Linked DNA regions of Drosophila melanogaster. The protein of the gene in region 1 interacts with the protein of each later gene in a pairwise test. Each region holds a gene or a part of one and is shown on either strand. Other genes may lie near its edges.

Evidence for each region.
Region 2: the proteins of ninaD (region 1) and RIC-3 interact in a two-hybrid assay, tested with the Drosophila melanogaster proteins (one large-scale study listed by BioGRID).
Region 3: the proteins of ninaD (region 1) and CG5382 interact in a two-hybrid assay, tested with the Drosophila melanogaster proteins (one large-scale study listed by BioGRID).

What each region holds. Positions count from the first base shown.
Region 1 is NT_033779.5:18,079,842-18,084,161, forward strand, and holds ninaD (neither inactivation nor afterpotential D), read left to right. Parts: upstream 1-1,786; 5' UTR 1,787-1,823; coding exon 1,824-1,952; intron 1,953-2,011; coding exon 2,012-2,314; intron 2,315-2,382; coding exon 2,383-3,194; coding exon of another isoform or gene 3,195-3,198; exon of another isoform or gene 3,199-3,255; intron 3,256-3,257; coding exon 3,258-3,348; intron 3,349-3,412; coding exon 3,413-3,619; 3' UTR 3,620-3,767; downstream 3,768-4,320. Other genes in the region: Arr1 (arrestin 1), read left to right, coding at 116-245, 306-353.
Region 2 is NT_033778.4:21,015,969-21,023,795, forward strand, and holds the start of RIC-3 (RIC3 acetylcholine receptor chaperone), read left to right. Parts: upstream 1-1,815; 5' UTR 1,816-1,984; intron 1,985-2,176; exon of another isoform or gene 2,177-2,300; intron 2,301-2,763; exon of another isoform or gene 2,764-2,790; intron 2,791-3,094; exon of another isoform or gene 3,095-3,114; intron 3,115-3,190; 5' UTR 3,191-3,418; coding exon 3,419-3,614; intron 3,615-3,771; coding exon 3,772-3,891; intron 3,892-4,118; coding exon 4,119-4,273; intron 4,274-5,024; coding exon 5,025-5,165; intron 5,166-5,222; coding exon 5,223-5,349; intron 5,350-5,532; coding exon of another isoform or gene 5,533-5,553; intron 5,554-5,917; coding exon 5,918-6,165; intron 6,166-6,365; coding exon of another isoform or gene 6,366-6,407; exon of another isoform or gene 6,408-6,494; intron 6,495-7,096; coding exon of another isoform or gene 7,097-7,197; intron 7,198-7,465; coding exon 7,466-7,618; intron 7,619-7,693; coding exon 7,694-7,786; intron 7,787-7,827. Other genes in the region: Sou (souji), read right to left, coding at 1-1,232.
Region 3 is NT_033777.3:22,364,061-22,367,949, forward strand, and holds CG5382 (uncharacterized protein), read right to left. Parts: upstream 1,924-3,889; 5' UTR 1,754-1,923; coding exon 1,652-1,753; intron 1,589-1,651; coding exon 1,477-1,588; intron 1,410-1,476; coding exon 1,216-1,409; intron 1,161-1,215; coding exon 959-1,160; intron 898-958; coding exon 608-897; 3' UTR 513-607; downstream 1-512. Other genes in the region: CG7071 (uncharacterized protein), read left to right, coding at 1-67, 137-447; Polr3F (RNA polymerase III subunit F), read right to left, coding at 2,155-2,643, 2,702-3,094.

The DNA.
Region 1 (4,320 bases):
TTAAAAATCGTATTTTCCCGGTGACTAACAGTTCTTTAGCTAAATGTGTTTACAAAATGGCATAAAACGCATACTAATACTAAGTGAAAAATGCATATTTAAAATTCTATTTCAGTATTGCCAGTCAGGATGCGAGGGATGCCTTTGGCATAATTGTTTCATATGCTGTGAAGGTCAAGCTTTTCTTGGGAGCCCTGGGCGGCGAGCTCTGCGCTGAGCTACCATTTATTCTGATGCACCCGAAGGTAATAAAAGGTGTGCCCAAATATTTGAATAGTTATTGAAAGGCAATCAATTATTTACAGCCAAGTCGCAAGGCCCAACTGGAAGCCGAGGGCTCCATTGAGGCCTAAACTGAAAGGGCTACCTCAACCAACGAAAAAAATGGCGTATTTCTACAAGTCAAACCGATTTTTGTAGATCCTAAAAAATGCTGATGTTGCTGAAATGTTCTGAACTGCAGTCGTCGTACTTTTCCTATATAGCAAATCCAATATCCATATATTGTATGTGTGTATGTGTATTATATTTATAACTCAACTAACAATTAAATATGAACAGAGTTTATGTATGTATTTTGGAGTATTCTATTGAATTTAGCACGGTGTATTTGAAAAGGCTCCAGCATTGAAAGTTTGTATGGAATGCGCACTAAATATTTAATAATGTGCTTACGAAGGCATTTCGTAGTATTTGATATCTTGCAATGTCTGCTGATTATGTACATTGAAGTGCAATGGGGAAATCAACAGAAGCCAGTGCAATCTATTCAATTACTAATAGTGGGTCTTGCATTTGTGGCTTAGTAATTCCAATTATTGCTACTCTGAAAAGCCGAGGAGCAGCCTAATTAATACTTGGCCACTATGCTGGAGGAAGTTTACTGAACTGAATTCGAGTAAGGAAAATGGACAATAATTGATATAATATGGTGAGCTTCTTGCTGGACTTTGAAATCGTAAAATTTAAGCGAACACACTTCAAACGCATCCATTTAATTTGTGAATGTTTGCAGTCCCACTTTTAATAAGCACCCAATATTAACGATAACGCCACTCTAATCAAAATTTTCCAATAGTCAGGGTTGAAATACTGATCAATCACGCTGCCAACATTTCGGCAGACCAGGTGGGTAATGAGTTTAAAATGGTTTTGCGTAATGGGATTAATCGAATTTCATTAAGGAAGATTAGATTGCCGTCTTTGGAAGTGATCTTTTATAGTGGCTGACCATAAAAATTGCATTGCAAATACTAATTTAAGCATACATGCTATATAACCGATAAGATGGGCGAGCGTCAAGGCAAAAATAGTTGACCGTATTAATAGTTTAATCAACTAGCTTCAAGTTAATTTATAATGCGAATTAGGAAGCACTCTGGCATGCTATTAAAAACTTAAGAACTGATAAACGAAACTTAATTCCTAAAATAAAAATGTACCTAATTACTTTTATATACTATTATAAATAAAATTGTACCATGTATCGTTAAATTTGATTTAGTTACCAAGTGGTATTTGGTACGTGGCAGCATGAAATAGCTACTACTGCTAGTCTGGCTGATTAGCCAGCACTCTCAATAAACTAAGTGCAGCGTTTTGCATTTATCAGGATTTTTGGTACTCTAAACACACACTTAGATCCCAATCACCCCACAGAATAAGTTGAGCAAACCAAACCGAGCTGATTACCACAGTAGACATGATGATTAGCCGCTGCTTTATTTACTAGTGGATAATCTACTAAGCGACGCATGAATAAAAACTCGAGCGATATTTTTCCACTTTGCAGTCGCTCGAAAGCCTTTGTTTCGTCTCTCAATATGTGCTGCAGCTGCTGTGGGGTGACCCAACAAAAGGCCTGGGTCTTCGGCCTGGGAACCTTTTTCGCGGTCTCCGGACTCCTGGCCATAATATGCTGGCCTGGCTTTATAGACTCAGGGATTATGAAGGTGAGAGGCGGTGTATAAAAATAAAATTAAGGAGGAGTACTAATCGATTTATTAAAAAGGCCTTGCCGTTGACACCCACTTCAAAGACTTTTGAAAAATGGGAGGAGCTGCCCATTCCGGTGTATGTCTACATGTATCTTTGGAACTGGACAAATGCCGCAGATGTGCAGGCTAATGGAGTAAAACCTATTTTCGCGCAACTTGGACCCTATGTTTATCGAGAGGAGAGGAAGAAGATGGATCTTGAGTGGCACGACAATGGCACAGTTACCTTTAACCCCAGAAGAACTTGGTTCTGGGAAGAGGAGCTCTCTGGCGGCAAGCAAACGGATTTAATTACCGCCCCACATTTACCTTCATTGGTAGGAAATAAGCAGTTATTAAAAAACAATTTGGTCTAAAAGAAGTTTTCCTTTTTCACTTTTTGCAGGCTGCTTCAAACCAAATGCGGAATAGCAACGTCTTCCTGAAATTCATGTTCAACGAGGCCCTAAATGCGAATGGTGGACATCTCTTTGTGACCCACACGGCAGCTGAATGGCTGTTCGAAAGTTTCTACGACGAATTTTTGCATTACGCCATGACCCTGAATAATCCATTGGTCCCAAAAATCGAGTCGGATCACTTTGCCTGGTTCCTCAACCGTAACGGATCGAAGGACTTCGAGGGTCCCTTCACTGTACACACCGGAGTGGGTGACATCAAGGAGATGGGTGAAATTAAGTATTGGAAGGGCCAGAATCACACGGGATGGTACGATGGAGAATGTGGACGTCTCAATGGCAGCACCACGGATCTTTTTGTGCCCGATGAGCCCAAGGAGAAGGCTTTGACCATCTTCATTCCGGATACTTGTCGGATCATAAATCTTGAGTTCACCGGACAGAGCGAAACAATTCAGGGCATCACGGGTTGGAAGTACGAGATAACGCCGAATACCTTCGACAATGGACAGATCAATGGTAACGCGAAGTGCTGGTGTCCTTTGGAGCGCCAGCCAGATAATTGTCCTGCAACCGGAGCCACTGACCTAGGACCGTGTGCCGATGGAGTTCCCATGTACCTTTCTGCGGATCATTTTATGTACGCGGACGAAAGTTATGGCAGCACGATAAGCGGCTACAATCCGAATTACGATCAAAATAACTTTTATATCATCATGGAGCGCAAGATGGGAGTGCCGTTGAAGGTCAATGCCAATGTGATGATTACCTTGTACATAGAGCCAGACAGCGTTATAGAGTAATTATTTACAATAATTGTTGCCTACCATATATATGACTTGATAAACACATTTTTTCCTAGCATACTGAAGGGCCTGCCCAGCTTCTATGCACCACTTTTTACCACTGCTAGTCGAGCGGAAATCGACGAAGCCCTCGCCTCAGAACTTAGGGTATGTTTTAGAGCTTGTTGAACTACGTTGATTTCTATTTTAAATAATGCATTTTGTCTTTTAGTTGGCACTGAATCTACCGGCTATAGGGAGATATACTGGAGTGGGATTCCTGTGCCTGGGCTGCATTCTTATAGCAGTTGGCATCTTACTTACCATTAAGAGGAAGTGGTATGGCCAGGCCGAGTTGGACAAACTGGCTCTCAAGGATAACGAGGAAACTCCATATGAACCGGAAGTTCCGGCCAACGTGGTCGAACGAAACTTTTAATTTAGTATTAACATTTTTTTTAATGAGCAGCACACGGATGTGATTCAAAAAACATATATGTGATAAATAACTCTAAACATTTTTTATTCTAGCTTTAAAATATAAAACTTCTAAACAACTGAAAAAATTAATAAAATTTAAAAAACTCATATAACTATTGTCTTCATTTTACAATAATTAAATTAGTTAAAGCTTATATTTATCTATGTGGTTTTTTAAATGATTGAGTGAATGAATTTATAGAAGCTTGTACACAAATTTAAATAGGCTCTTTAAATAAAGGTTTTATTTTAGAACATTTTTTAATTGTTTTTAAAATTAAAATTCAAACATCATCTGTGTGTCTTTTTTAGTTTATAATTAATTCATATACACAAAAGAAAAAGAAAATTAAATAAAATCATTAAAATTAAGATTTAAAAAACTCAACAAATTTGTATAATAGTTATGTGATTCCTATACCTATTTAAACGATTTCGTATCTCAGTTGTATTTTCTTTTTTACAGTGCATCTAATGATTTATCTAATGAGTGAAACGAAATATAATCACAAAACTTCGTATAACATTTAACTCAGGCCGTAAAACAAGCCACTTGAAAAAGCTTTCGGAGATTAGCCTATCAGAAGCGTTCCAAGTGGAGAATTCAAAACAAATATAAAAATAAAAAAATCACCTGTTAATTTGCTCTTGAAATCTAAT
Region 2 (7,827 bases), on another chromosome or scaffold:
TGGCCAACACTCAGCTTGTGCAGGGCGTCGTTGGATATGACATGACCGCAGGTCAACTTCTTCGGCGGATTGTCCTCGGAAGTCTGCTGGCGCAATATGGGGCAGGCAAAGATCGAGTGGAATCGGAATTCCGGCTGCAGATCGATCTCAATGGGCAACTCGTCGCAGCCGTTCCACATGCCAAGGACTTGGCGCGACTGCATCACCTGCTTGATATTGAGCAAGGCGGGCAGGGCAGTGCATCCGGCATTGACCACAACAGACAGGGCGGAGTTCTTGCTAATGCCTAGCAGTTGGCATGCGTCTTTGAGGAATATGAACGACAGTTCGGTCCACTTCTCCTGGCCCAAGAAGTGCTTGTAAGGCGAGTTCTCCAGTCCACTGGGCAGATATATAAAGCTGGCCATCAAGTTGGCTATTTCGTGCTCATAGCGCACAGCAAACTTCTTGAAGTTCAGTCGAGCGTAGGAGATGGCCTCGCGCTGCGAGTCCAATCCGTAGGAGACCAGCTGCATGAAACGCATGCGGTGCAGCCGGAACTCTATGAGCGAGTGGCGGTCACTCAGCTGCTGGGAGTACATCTTTGCCCACTTGAGGGCGTCAGTCAGATCCCGCTTTTGGATCTTCACCCAAATGCCGTAGATGTCGGCAAACTCGCGCTCCGAGTCGAACACATCCTGGGCATGCTCCGGCGACATCTTGCACTCGCGGATTAGCGTGCGAGCCACATCGTCCATGCCCTGGCGACAATAATGCTTGGCAATGGCCTTGTTCAGCAACATCAGGTTCTCCTCGTCCTGCAGCACGTCCACTCGCATGGTGGACGAGAAGTCGGCGCTAAAGTTGCGGTCAATGGCCTTGCCGATCTTCGAAATGGAGCCGTGCAGATCGCGGTGCTCCGTGGACAGTTTTTGCACGCGCTCGTGGCACCTGGCGAGAGCATTCCGGACGCTCTCCACTTGGCGCTCGGTTAGGCGTTGTGGTGCCGTCGGTTCCGTCTCCACCTGCATGCTCACCGCATCGCCCATGGGATCGTCCTGGGACACCTGGGTGCTCGAGTTCAGAGTGGTCACCAGCTGCTCCGCCCTGCTGAGAACCTCTACCAGCTCCGACATCTGTGTGGCTATATCTCCGATGTCCGCCTCTGCGTTCTCGTGAAGCTGCTCCAGTTTGCTGACCACTCGGGTCAGGTCCTTCTCCACCGACGAACAGGCCAACGACTCGCTGTCCATTGTTAGCTCCAGTTTCGTGGGGTGAAAGCCTAGAAACCAGTCACGCCAGGCGCGCGTTCACTTTCGATTTTACAACCTTTTGCTTTCGAGGATTGATAGCACTGTGATTCTTCAAAGTCACGACGATATTCGGTGGTCCAGCGGAAAATGCGTATTTATAAATTGTTAATTTTATAACACAAAGAAGACGAAAACATTGGAGCTGGGTGGACCACTCACGATGCTATCGATAAATCGAATAATTTTAATTTCGATAAAGGGCAACAGTGCTGAGCGAATTAATATTTGTATATTCCGCATTTTACGTATTACCGTTATATTGGATCCTTAGTTGATCCTTAGTTATATATAGTTAGTCTAGTTTAACATCATAATAATGCATAATAAAGTAACCATTTTACGAACCAAATATATATTTGACCTTTATATATTAATAATAATGTGATTCCATTTAAAACAATTACAAATATACAAAAATTTATTAAATCCCATAAGCCTTCTATCAGTGTAAAGGATCCGTTAACTTTAAACGATAGAAAAGTATCGATAGCACTCGCATGCATCGATTGACAGCCAATGCTGCCCATCTCCGTTCGGTCGACTGAAAAATCAATTATTATTGCTGCTGCTTTCTGGCAGAGAAACTTATAACGACAAACAAACAGTTTGAAATTAGCGTAATTAGATAAGAAAACGAACTTTGAAACCAAAGGTGTTAGTCTTTAAAAACGAAACTGATAATTATTTAAAAGGTACCTCAGAACACGAGAGCAATTCCAAGGACAAAATCTCCACACTTTGAATTCATAATTTTTAAAAATAAGTGATGAGTCTTAAGCCGAACGGCATTGAACCCAAATTACAAATGCTGTGCCTCCAAAAATAAAAGCGCAGAGAGCTCGAAAAACGTTTTCCAAATTAATGTAGACAGTGACAAGAAGAGGGAAATTTTTAAAATAAAAGTGGTGGAAATAAGAAGATGCTGTGCAAATAACAGACGTGCATAGTAAAAACAATTTTACTTTCGCCACTTTTCAGTCAGTGCGCTTGAAAGCGAAATGGAAAACGGTCGGAAAACTCATAGCACTTGGCAGTGTGTGTGTGCGTGTGTGATAACAAGAGCGAAGAAGCTGCGAAATGAAAAATATGAAAACACGAAATTTCGCACACAGTGCTGGTCAGCAAAACAGCAGCAATAGCTCAAAAAATTAAATTTAAAATTATATTATAAAATTTTTTTGCTGAAATATTTCAAATTAAGTTTGCCCAATTTCCCAAGCAGTTATATGTATTTTGATTTAAAATCTATTTCCGAAATGAATTAGAGAGCATTAATGTTATGTCGGCTGCTGTAGCGTAGCTCTCGGAAATTCCCGGTGCAGGCCCAAGCTGCAAATCACTTGTCTCATCAAAAATAAAGGAAAATAATGGCCGACGACGATTATGGGGAAAAGCGCGCCCGAATGGTGTGTCGGGTCTTCAGATCTGATCTGCCGAAAATTCGCTAATAGTTTCAAAAATTTGCCTGGCCAGTTCGGGAACAACATTCGAACTTTGCGTAAGCAGTCGCTCTGTCCAGTTTTCTGTTTTCATTTTTTTTCGAACCCTTGGTCGTTCAAAAACCGTTTTCCAAAAGCGATACGAAAGCATTTTCTTTTGGAGAAACGTTCAATATTATTTATGCGGTCGTTAATTGTGATTTGTGCGGTGGGAAAAGTGAAAATAATAAAGAATTATTAGACGGGCCGAAAAGAGCGAATTGCGCGAGCTAAAAATAAAAAAGATCGGGACCGCTATTTATGTAATAAACTTTTTTGTTTTCCCGCAACAATATTCAAACGTATACAGCATTTTGCGCTGCGATTCGTGACCGATCAGTGATGTGAATACAACTCCAACGAAAGCCGGAATCAGCGAACTGTAGCGTGTAACCGATTATGCATCTATGTATCTTTCAGATAATGCTTTAAACGTACAGCAAATCAACCATTAGCCAGCCAAAATGAGCCAATGCCAAAGTTAAACAGCAACTAGAAACACAGCGCATAGTCAACAGCTCGCAGGGAGCCATCAACGAACCAAATCGATCAGGAACACATAGCAGAGTTGCCTTAGGGACTAGCTTTAACCACGAACCCATAGCCAAACGAATCCAGATAGCCCACGGAATCCGCTACCAAGCCAAAATGCCCGCTACAGCCACATCCAAGCCGAGAGCTCCGCTCGTCGAGGAGGGCATGACGCCCAAGAAGACCGCCCTGATCATCGTAACCGTGATCGGATGCATTGCCATCCTGTGGCCAAAGGTCTTCCATCCCATGATGTTCGGAGGAGTGCCTCCAAGCCAGCCAAACTTCAAGGATCCACGAGCAGCACCAGGCGGTAAGTCATCAGATTCTATTCACCACATTAGGAGCTAGGGCTTATAAATGTTGTACTTTACTTAATTTCATTTATCATTTATTATTTATGAATTATCATCATGATTTTCTTTTGATTTCCGTATGTGGGTGTTGTTGTTGTCCGGTCGATGTTGTAGGATGTTGTGATGTCGTCCTGGACAGGGAGCAGTTTCTGAATGCCACGAAGAAGGACACTGTCGAGCCCTTCGGTCCGCATTTGTATCGCAAGCAAATCAATGTTTACACGGGCGAAATAAGTATGTGGCTCGATTATTTATAATTTGCTTATTGGTTTTACTAACGGTGTTTGGCTCTACTAACAAGATTGTATCTACATGAAACAATCGATTGAGATACATTTAGATTCCTAACCTTTACGGTATTAATGAGTTTATTAATGTTTGGGTTTCTAAAATGTAGTGTTTATGTCAATTAAAAATTTGATAGTTTAATTGTGTTACTAATGAATCCATTGTGGTCGCAGGTCTGCGCCAGGAGCGTCCCGCCCACCTGCATCCGGAATCCATATACCAGGCCATGAGGGAGCGGGGTCGCGCCATTCCCGCCACGCCCACCGTGCCGATTCTAGAACGAAAGACTTCGCCCAGTAATCCGCCTCCGCGGATTGTCGACGGACGGGTGAGTTGGGCTACTATACATTTAACCATACGGTGTGCATTATTCTCCGGACGATAAATCCATAATTATAATATATATAGTTATACTGGTCGGCGGGCTGTGGTCGATGTGATTATAATGACGGCGGGATGAGACATATCCGCGCTCGCGTTGGAAGTCATTTATAAATAGCCAAACGTTTATTTTATTCGGATTCGGGTTTTGTTTTTATGACACTGCACGCAAATTGAAGGCAAGAGACAGCGCTAAAGAAAACACAAAAAAAGAATTTGTAAATGATGAGTGGGAGATCGGCCGAATGTGCTGCTGCGTATTGAACTTGTGCCAAATTCAGTGCGCCAGTTCCATTTTGCTCTCATCGCTACTAGAATGCTAGAATGGCCGGGGAGCACAAATCAGCTGTCCTCGCCTCATGTCAAAATACAACGGGGCGGATACGTAATTTTAATGATTACATGGGTTGTCAATAAAACACAATCGATTCCCTTCTCCTACAAAGACATCAATTCAAAAGATTTCGAAGACAACTGTCTTGAGTAATCTTTATGTCAATATACATCGCGGCGGATACGTAATTTTTATGATTACATAGGACAATAGAATATACATATTCGATCAGTTCAAAAATATCTAAAGACAATTGACTTAAGAAACCACCGGGGCGTATACCTGATACATTTAATATGACCTTGATTGTTGGCGGCATTCTATTGTATTTCAGTAACTTTTGACATATGTATGTACTTTCTAGCCTGGACCCATTCCTGGAATGCGTCCACCCATGGGCGCCGGTGCACTGCATCAGCCACAACAGCGGGGCAGCAGCATGGGCTTCCTAATGCCACTCTACACCATTGGCATCGTAGTCTTCTTCGGCTACACCCTAATGAAGGTGACTCTCTTTGATCGTATATATGTAATTATAATACTATAAAACTCTTACATGCAGATTATGTTCAAGAAGCAAGTTCCCAATGATCCGTACGGAGCGGCGCCTCCAAATCCTGCCTTCCGGCAGGAGGTCTTCGGATCACAGAACCACAGCCAGGTGGAGGATTTGGGCGGCAGCAAACTGGGTGAGTGCCAGGCCAATTCGGATGCCATCTTCCGGATTATTACACTCGTAGTTGGACACACACACACACAATCGCTCTAGCCACCGCACTCACGATTCAATCCTAACCGAAAAAAAATCGCATTTTGTACTCTTCTGCTTCCAAAAAAACCCATGCACACCGAAAATCATGCCACGGTATCAGGCTGGCGAGAGCATCAGACAAGTAAGCCAGATATATATAGATGGTTGCATAGATGACCATAGAGTTTCGTTCGTATCTTGAGTTTCTAGACCTCGACAAAGGCCTTTTGAGTTTTGAAATATGTCCTCCTCATTTGGTATCGTAGTATCGTAGCGACTATGTGTTCTATTTCATTTACCTAGATGTACTCATTCTAGATGTTGTGTGCCTATATACTATTTATAAATATATATATATACTAACCCCGAATTGATCACGCTTCCATGGATATATACATTTATTTTGTTGCCACTCCTGCACCCGTGTAAATACTCCTTAGTTTCGTTAGTCCCTCGATTGATTCGATTTCCGGCCCTGATTACCAAACCGTACGACAATTTTATAGGAGCTGCCACCGCCACTGCCGCCGCAAAGAAGCCGGCCGCCAAGGACACCGAAAAGGAGCTGTACAACGCCAGTGTGTCGGCCACCGAGGTGGCGAGCAGTTTGTCCGCCTCTCTGAAGAGCCACCAGCAGCTGAAGGAGGCCGAGCAGCTGATGGAGATCGAGAAGCTGCGCCAGAAACTCGAGAGCACGGAGCGGGCGATGGCCCAGTTGGTGGCCGAAATGAACACCGATCAGTATGAGGCAAAGGTTAGCATCCAGCATCCAGTATCCAGTAGCTTCCTACCATCGTCATCGAATCGGAAAAAAGCAGATACAGATACAGATATAGCTATACAACGCGACTCAGATACATCTAGTAGCACATCATATATCGTAGTGATTTCAGTTGGACCATCTCGCTGTCATTTGAATTAATATTTGATCTCTTTTGTGTTCTCATTTTCAAGATGATTGCCCTCAAGTTTCTCAAGCGGCAGCCAAACTTCTAAGACAATAATAACCATCATTCAGTTCACATAGAATCAGTCAGTAAAACAGACCAAAATCAGACCAACAACAACTCAGATCACAACTAAGTACAACGAACAAAGTCAACTAGATTATTTCTGTTTTCAATTGGTTTCTAGTGAATAGCTGAATCCTCGGAATGGTTTCTTTTACCCCCCTGCCACATCCTCCCCCCCAAAAAAAGCCTTCAGTTCTAAAACTATGTCACTCTGTCCTTAATCTTCAAGTCTAACAAGTGCATGGAACGGAATTCTCCCGACTCTGTTTCTAATTTAACCTGCTTGTCTGCTGTCGGCATGCGATATATGCATATATATATATATATATAAACATATCTTTTCACATACTCGTATCTACTAACGAACCCAGTCTAAATGTGTTTGCATCTCACTGAGTACTCTCGATCTGAACTAAACTAAACTCTTATGATGGGGACATATTTTACGATTCAAAGCAGTCTTATTCGAAATCTATTCGAACACTATACGTAACTTTACATTGCCAATAAAGATAATCGCAAACATCATTTCATACTCAGAGCTACAAAGAAACAACTATATAAATATTCACTCTCTGTGTCGTTTCTACGTTTTTCATGTTTCTCGCAAAAACACAAAAAAAAAAATGAATGTAAATCCCAAATTGATACCCTGTACTTTCATGGGGCTAGTTGTTACGGCCATACAAGGTTTGATAGACGCGGCCGACGAGCAATTGAATGGCCAAGACAAGCAGAGGGCGACGAGCGACACTGAAACTGATTCGAATAAGGTTAGAGACCTTCAAAGGGTCCGGCACGGCAATCCTTGAACATATAATTTGTAACAAGAACTTAATCTTTTTGTTTATTAACCAAGATCCTTCGACTAATTGAGTTTTGTTGCGTTTCACCTAACCACAACGAATTGAAGTAATTAATGCGTTCGATTTCTGATTTCTTGCGTTTTGAGGCTGTATAGAATTGCTTAGCTCTCACATTCTACTGACTGTTTCGAGAGTGTCCTCTCTAACCGTATTATATCCTGTGTATCCTGTGCAGAAAAACGACAACGAAAAAACGAGGGAGCAACCACTAGACAAGCAGAACCTATCCAATGGACATGCAAGCAGCACCGACCAAAATCCGGAGCAGGAGACCGTGGCGAAGGGAGCCAGGAAACGGCGGGATCTAAGCGCTGAACAGGAACTGACGGTATGCCATTATATACCCTGTATAGCACCTTTGAGTACGTAGATCTTTGCCGTAAATAATCGAATATTGGTGCAGGTACTCGGCATGGAGTTAACAGCCAGTTGCGAGGGCGGCCACAAGTGGACTGGACGCCCTCCAACGCCTGTTTTCCGAGCGCCAAGCGAACATGTAAGTGCCACTGACGCACAGACCCCCCACCACTTTCAAGT
Region 3 (3,889 bases), on another chromosome or scaffold:
CTCAAAATGACCAAGAATGTGGATGCCGGCTTAAAACACTATCCAGAGGACACTATCAGCTATCAGAGTAAGTGAATACGCCCAGCTTGTTAGATCCGCCCTTTTAAAACCTTTTTCTTCTTCCCTTCCCTTTCAGTTAAGAGCCTTAACAAGCAAATCATTGCCGTGGTGCAGTTCATCTTCTCCGTGGCCGCTGGCTTTACGTTCGGCTTTTTCGGCGTCAATTTGATGGTGGGCCCGCTGCCTTTCGGCTTTCGCATCTTGCTGGGCGTGATTGTAGCGCTCATCATAGCCCTGGCTGAGATGTACTTCCTGGCCAAGAAGCTGCACGAGTACGATGAGGTCTTGGACGCGCCCAAACGTAAGCCGCAGCCATCGACGCCGGCTAAGCGCACCCCGCCCGCCGAGGGAAGTCAAGTCCAGACATTGAAACCCCATGTTGACTAGATAGATGATCTGCGAGTAAAAATCGTTCTTTGTCGTTGTATTATTTCGCTTTGCAATGTTAGGTTATATAAATAGCTGTAAAAGTTTTATTCTTTCGGAATCGGGGACTTGGATATCGATTATATGCTACGTATGCTTATTTCGACCGTGAATGCACACCCTATTCGTAGTGGTTCGGCTGTGGATTGGGGTTATTCCAGCCCTCGTCCACGGCATCAGATCCTCCGCGACCCAGCCAGGCCATAAGATAGACGAACAAGACAAAGGCCAAAATGCCGGCGGTCACCAGGAACCAAGTGCGACGCCACGGCGGCCGCGAGGAGGGCGCATAGAAGCGGCGTGTCCATCGCGAGAACAATTCCGCAGGAGTGCGGCGCTGGTACTTATTATCGTCTCGATCTGTCCCACCAATTGGCGACTGACGGGGCAGCAGCGGTCTTCTGCTGCTGGCTGCAGGTGCGTAAGATTATAATTATAATATGACTCAAAGTGTATGCTAGATTATGCGCACCGTAGTCGCCCGCACTTGGGGGATTAAATGCATCCATTAGGAGCACGGAATGTGGGCTCACGGCGTCATGGCCATTGGGCTTCGTGCGCTCTCGCTCGCCACCGGAATGGATGTGGTGCACTTTGGTCATGTTGCTGACAGCCGCCTGGCTTGCCACCTTGGGCTTAATGGCCTTCAGACTGCTGCTCTGCTCCTCAGAGAGCTGGGAAAGATTCAACATTTAAATTGATTACAAGCTTACTGCCCGGAATGCTTACCAGGGCGAGTCCCAGGCCATTTCTGCCCCAGTTAACCTGCGACAGGAAACTCTTCAGAGCATCGGCCACCGGGGAGACCAGGTTGGCGTTGGGAAAGATCTCCACACTGCAGGCGGGGCACTGGTGACCCCGAGGGGCTGTGTTGGCAGGCAGTGCGGCTTGGCGGGCGTTCAGGCAGTCCCAGTGGAAAACATCTGGAAATGGCAGGATTATGGGTAAGTGTGTGGTGTCTGGATTAGCTCAAAACTGGCAGATCCCTACGGTAGCAGACGAGGCGCACGCAATCGCCCTGCTCCAATGTGGTGCCGCACAGAGTGCAGTTGGAGATGTAGTCGCTGTCCCGCAGCCACTGCAGATACGACTGCACAATGCACTGAAAAAGAGTGGATATGGTGTATTCCAAGCATCCATAAAACTAGAGGACAGGAATCCTTACCTTTGGATGAGACTGAACCATACAGTGTTCGCAAACATTGACTCGATGCTCAAAGCAAAACTGGTTGGTCACCAGGCGCTTGGGGCACTTGCACAAACCCATTTCCTTAAATTCGGGGTTCCTAAGGCGGCGGAGGAATTGCACTTGGCGGCCTTGGGACAGCTATCGCATAATAACGCCTCAATAAAATTAAATTTTATTTCGTTTCGCAGCTTTTGTCGGAATTTTCGAGTTTTCATTCACATATTCAACAGCCACGTATCTGTTCATGCGTTCCGGGCGATTGGCAACCAGCTGACATATTCTGCGAATATCGTAGCGATGAATGATGAAATACGATATGTGTTTGCGATTTAAAAAATCGGTTTCAAATTTTCCTTTTTTTTATGGTAACCATAACATTTAAGAGTTAATAATGTTTGTGCTACAAAAAGCTTAATAAACAATAAGTTCAATTTGTAATACTTAATATAAAATAAAATCCAGAGTTTTCGAGCTAATCCCTAATCCAACCAATCTCGCATATATTCACAAGTTATAGCAGTTACATCGCCACAATTGGAGCAGTTTTTGATGACGGGACAAATGCCACATGGCATCTGGACCAGACCAGTCGGAGGAAGTGGGGCGTTCACCGCCCGGTAGACGAAGGATCCATCCTGCTGGCGCACTCGCTCCGCATTGCCGTCGTACACCACTGTTTTGAGAATTGTTTCCAGATCGGCCTCCGCCAGATTAACCTTGCTGATGCCCAAGTCCGAGATGAACTTCTGAACCTCGTTCACCGTGCAGCAAGACATCTGCTTGAAGGCCAGTGGCCCCTCGCGCTTCTTTTCCGCACTGTCGCGTTTCATTTGCAGAAAGCGCAGGCACTGCTGGTTGAGCACATCCACAAACTCCACCTCAAAGTCCTGATCCTGGTACCAGGCTCCTCCCGTAATGGAGAGATCCGGCTCTAGGTTGTACAGCATGTACACTTTCTTTTTGCTGGCCTGCGCGAAGAAAATTTGGAATCACATTGAACTTGGAATATGGGATCATAGAACCTACGTTCACCGACTTGACCGCCTTGATGAGCTTCTTGGTTTCTAGGTTCTTGAGGATCTTGTTGAGCTGTATCATGTTCAGGTTGGACTTCATACGTATATCCCTAATCCAGATGCCTTTGTTGCCGCCCTCCTCAACAATGCCGTAGACGACCTTCTCCTCATTGTCCGCATCCTTGGGCAGGGCACTCTTCTTTTCCGGGTCCTTGGCACGGTACACCAGCTTTTCACCCTTCTTCAGGATCTCGATCCCGCCCTCCTGCAGCAGTATATTCAAAGCTTCCACCCGCGTGGCCGCCGGCACATCGGGCAGCGCCTTGGTCAGGTCATCGTTGGTGGCACCGGCTGGGATGCCCTGGACCACCGCCAGCAAAAGTTGCGACACCTCAGTGGCCATTTTTCTATTCTCGAAAATTTGTTATTTAAAATTCAATTAAATCGAGAAAAACAACACGCTTACCGTGAAAAGCAAAACAAAAACAAACGGTTCCGGGCGAATGGCTACCGCTGCTAAGAAGAAGCTAAAAAATAACAAAAATCACAAACCAATTTTAAAAATATAAGTTTGTTCTATTAAAAATAATACTTTACGCAACTGAATAAATGAGGATAAATAAGGAGCATATGTTTTAGGCTTTATTACAAATTGCTTTAAATAAAATTTAAAGCTTTCCGAAGACCCCAAATGTTATATCGTGAATCTGGTATGTATATACCAAATGGTATTTATTTTAAAAACGAGTGGCTTTTTTAGGCTCATTGGTGCCAACTGTTTTTTCGAACAGATCGCCGGACGCACTGTTTCTGATTGGAGTGTTCGCTGCCTGTGCATTTAAATTGAATTAAAATAATTCCAAAACAGGAAGAGCAAATACATCTTTCCGCGAGTTCACCTTTACTGTCAAAAACAGGTAATTATCAGATCTTCTTGATACGACCTCAAGCTAAACATCATTCCATTATAATACGCTAGAAATTTTGCTAACGAAATTGGCGGGGGCAAGACATTTGTTTTTGCTGTTGTTGATGATGCAAGCAATTTCTCCACATTATGTAGAATTGCGTTTGCCGCCTCACAAAACACATACACACAAGCACGGCTGCGAATTCAATTCGCACACCCATACAATCTCAAAAGAACCTCGTTAGCGAAATGTGTAAAGGTGAAATAGAAGTCATTCCATGCGGAGCG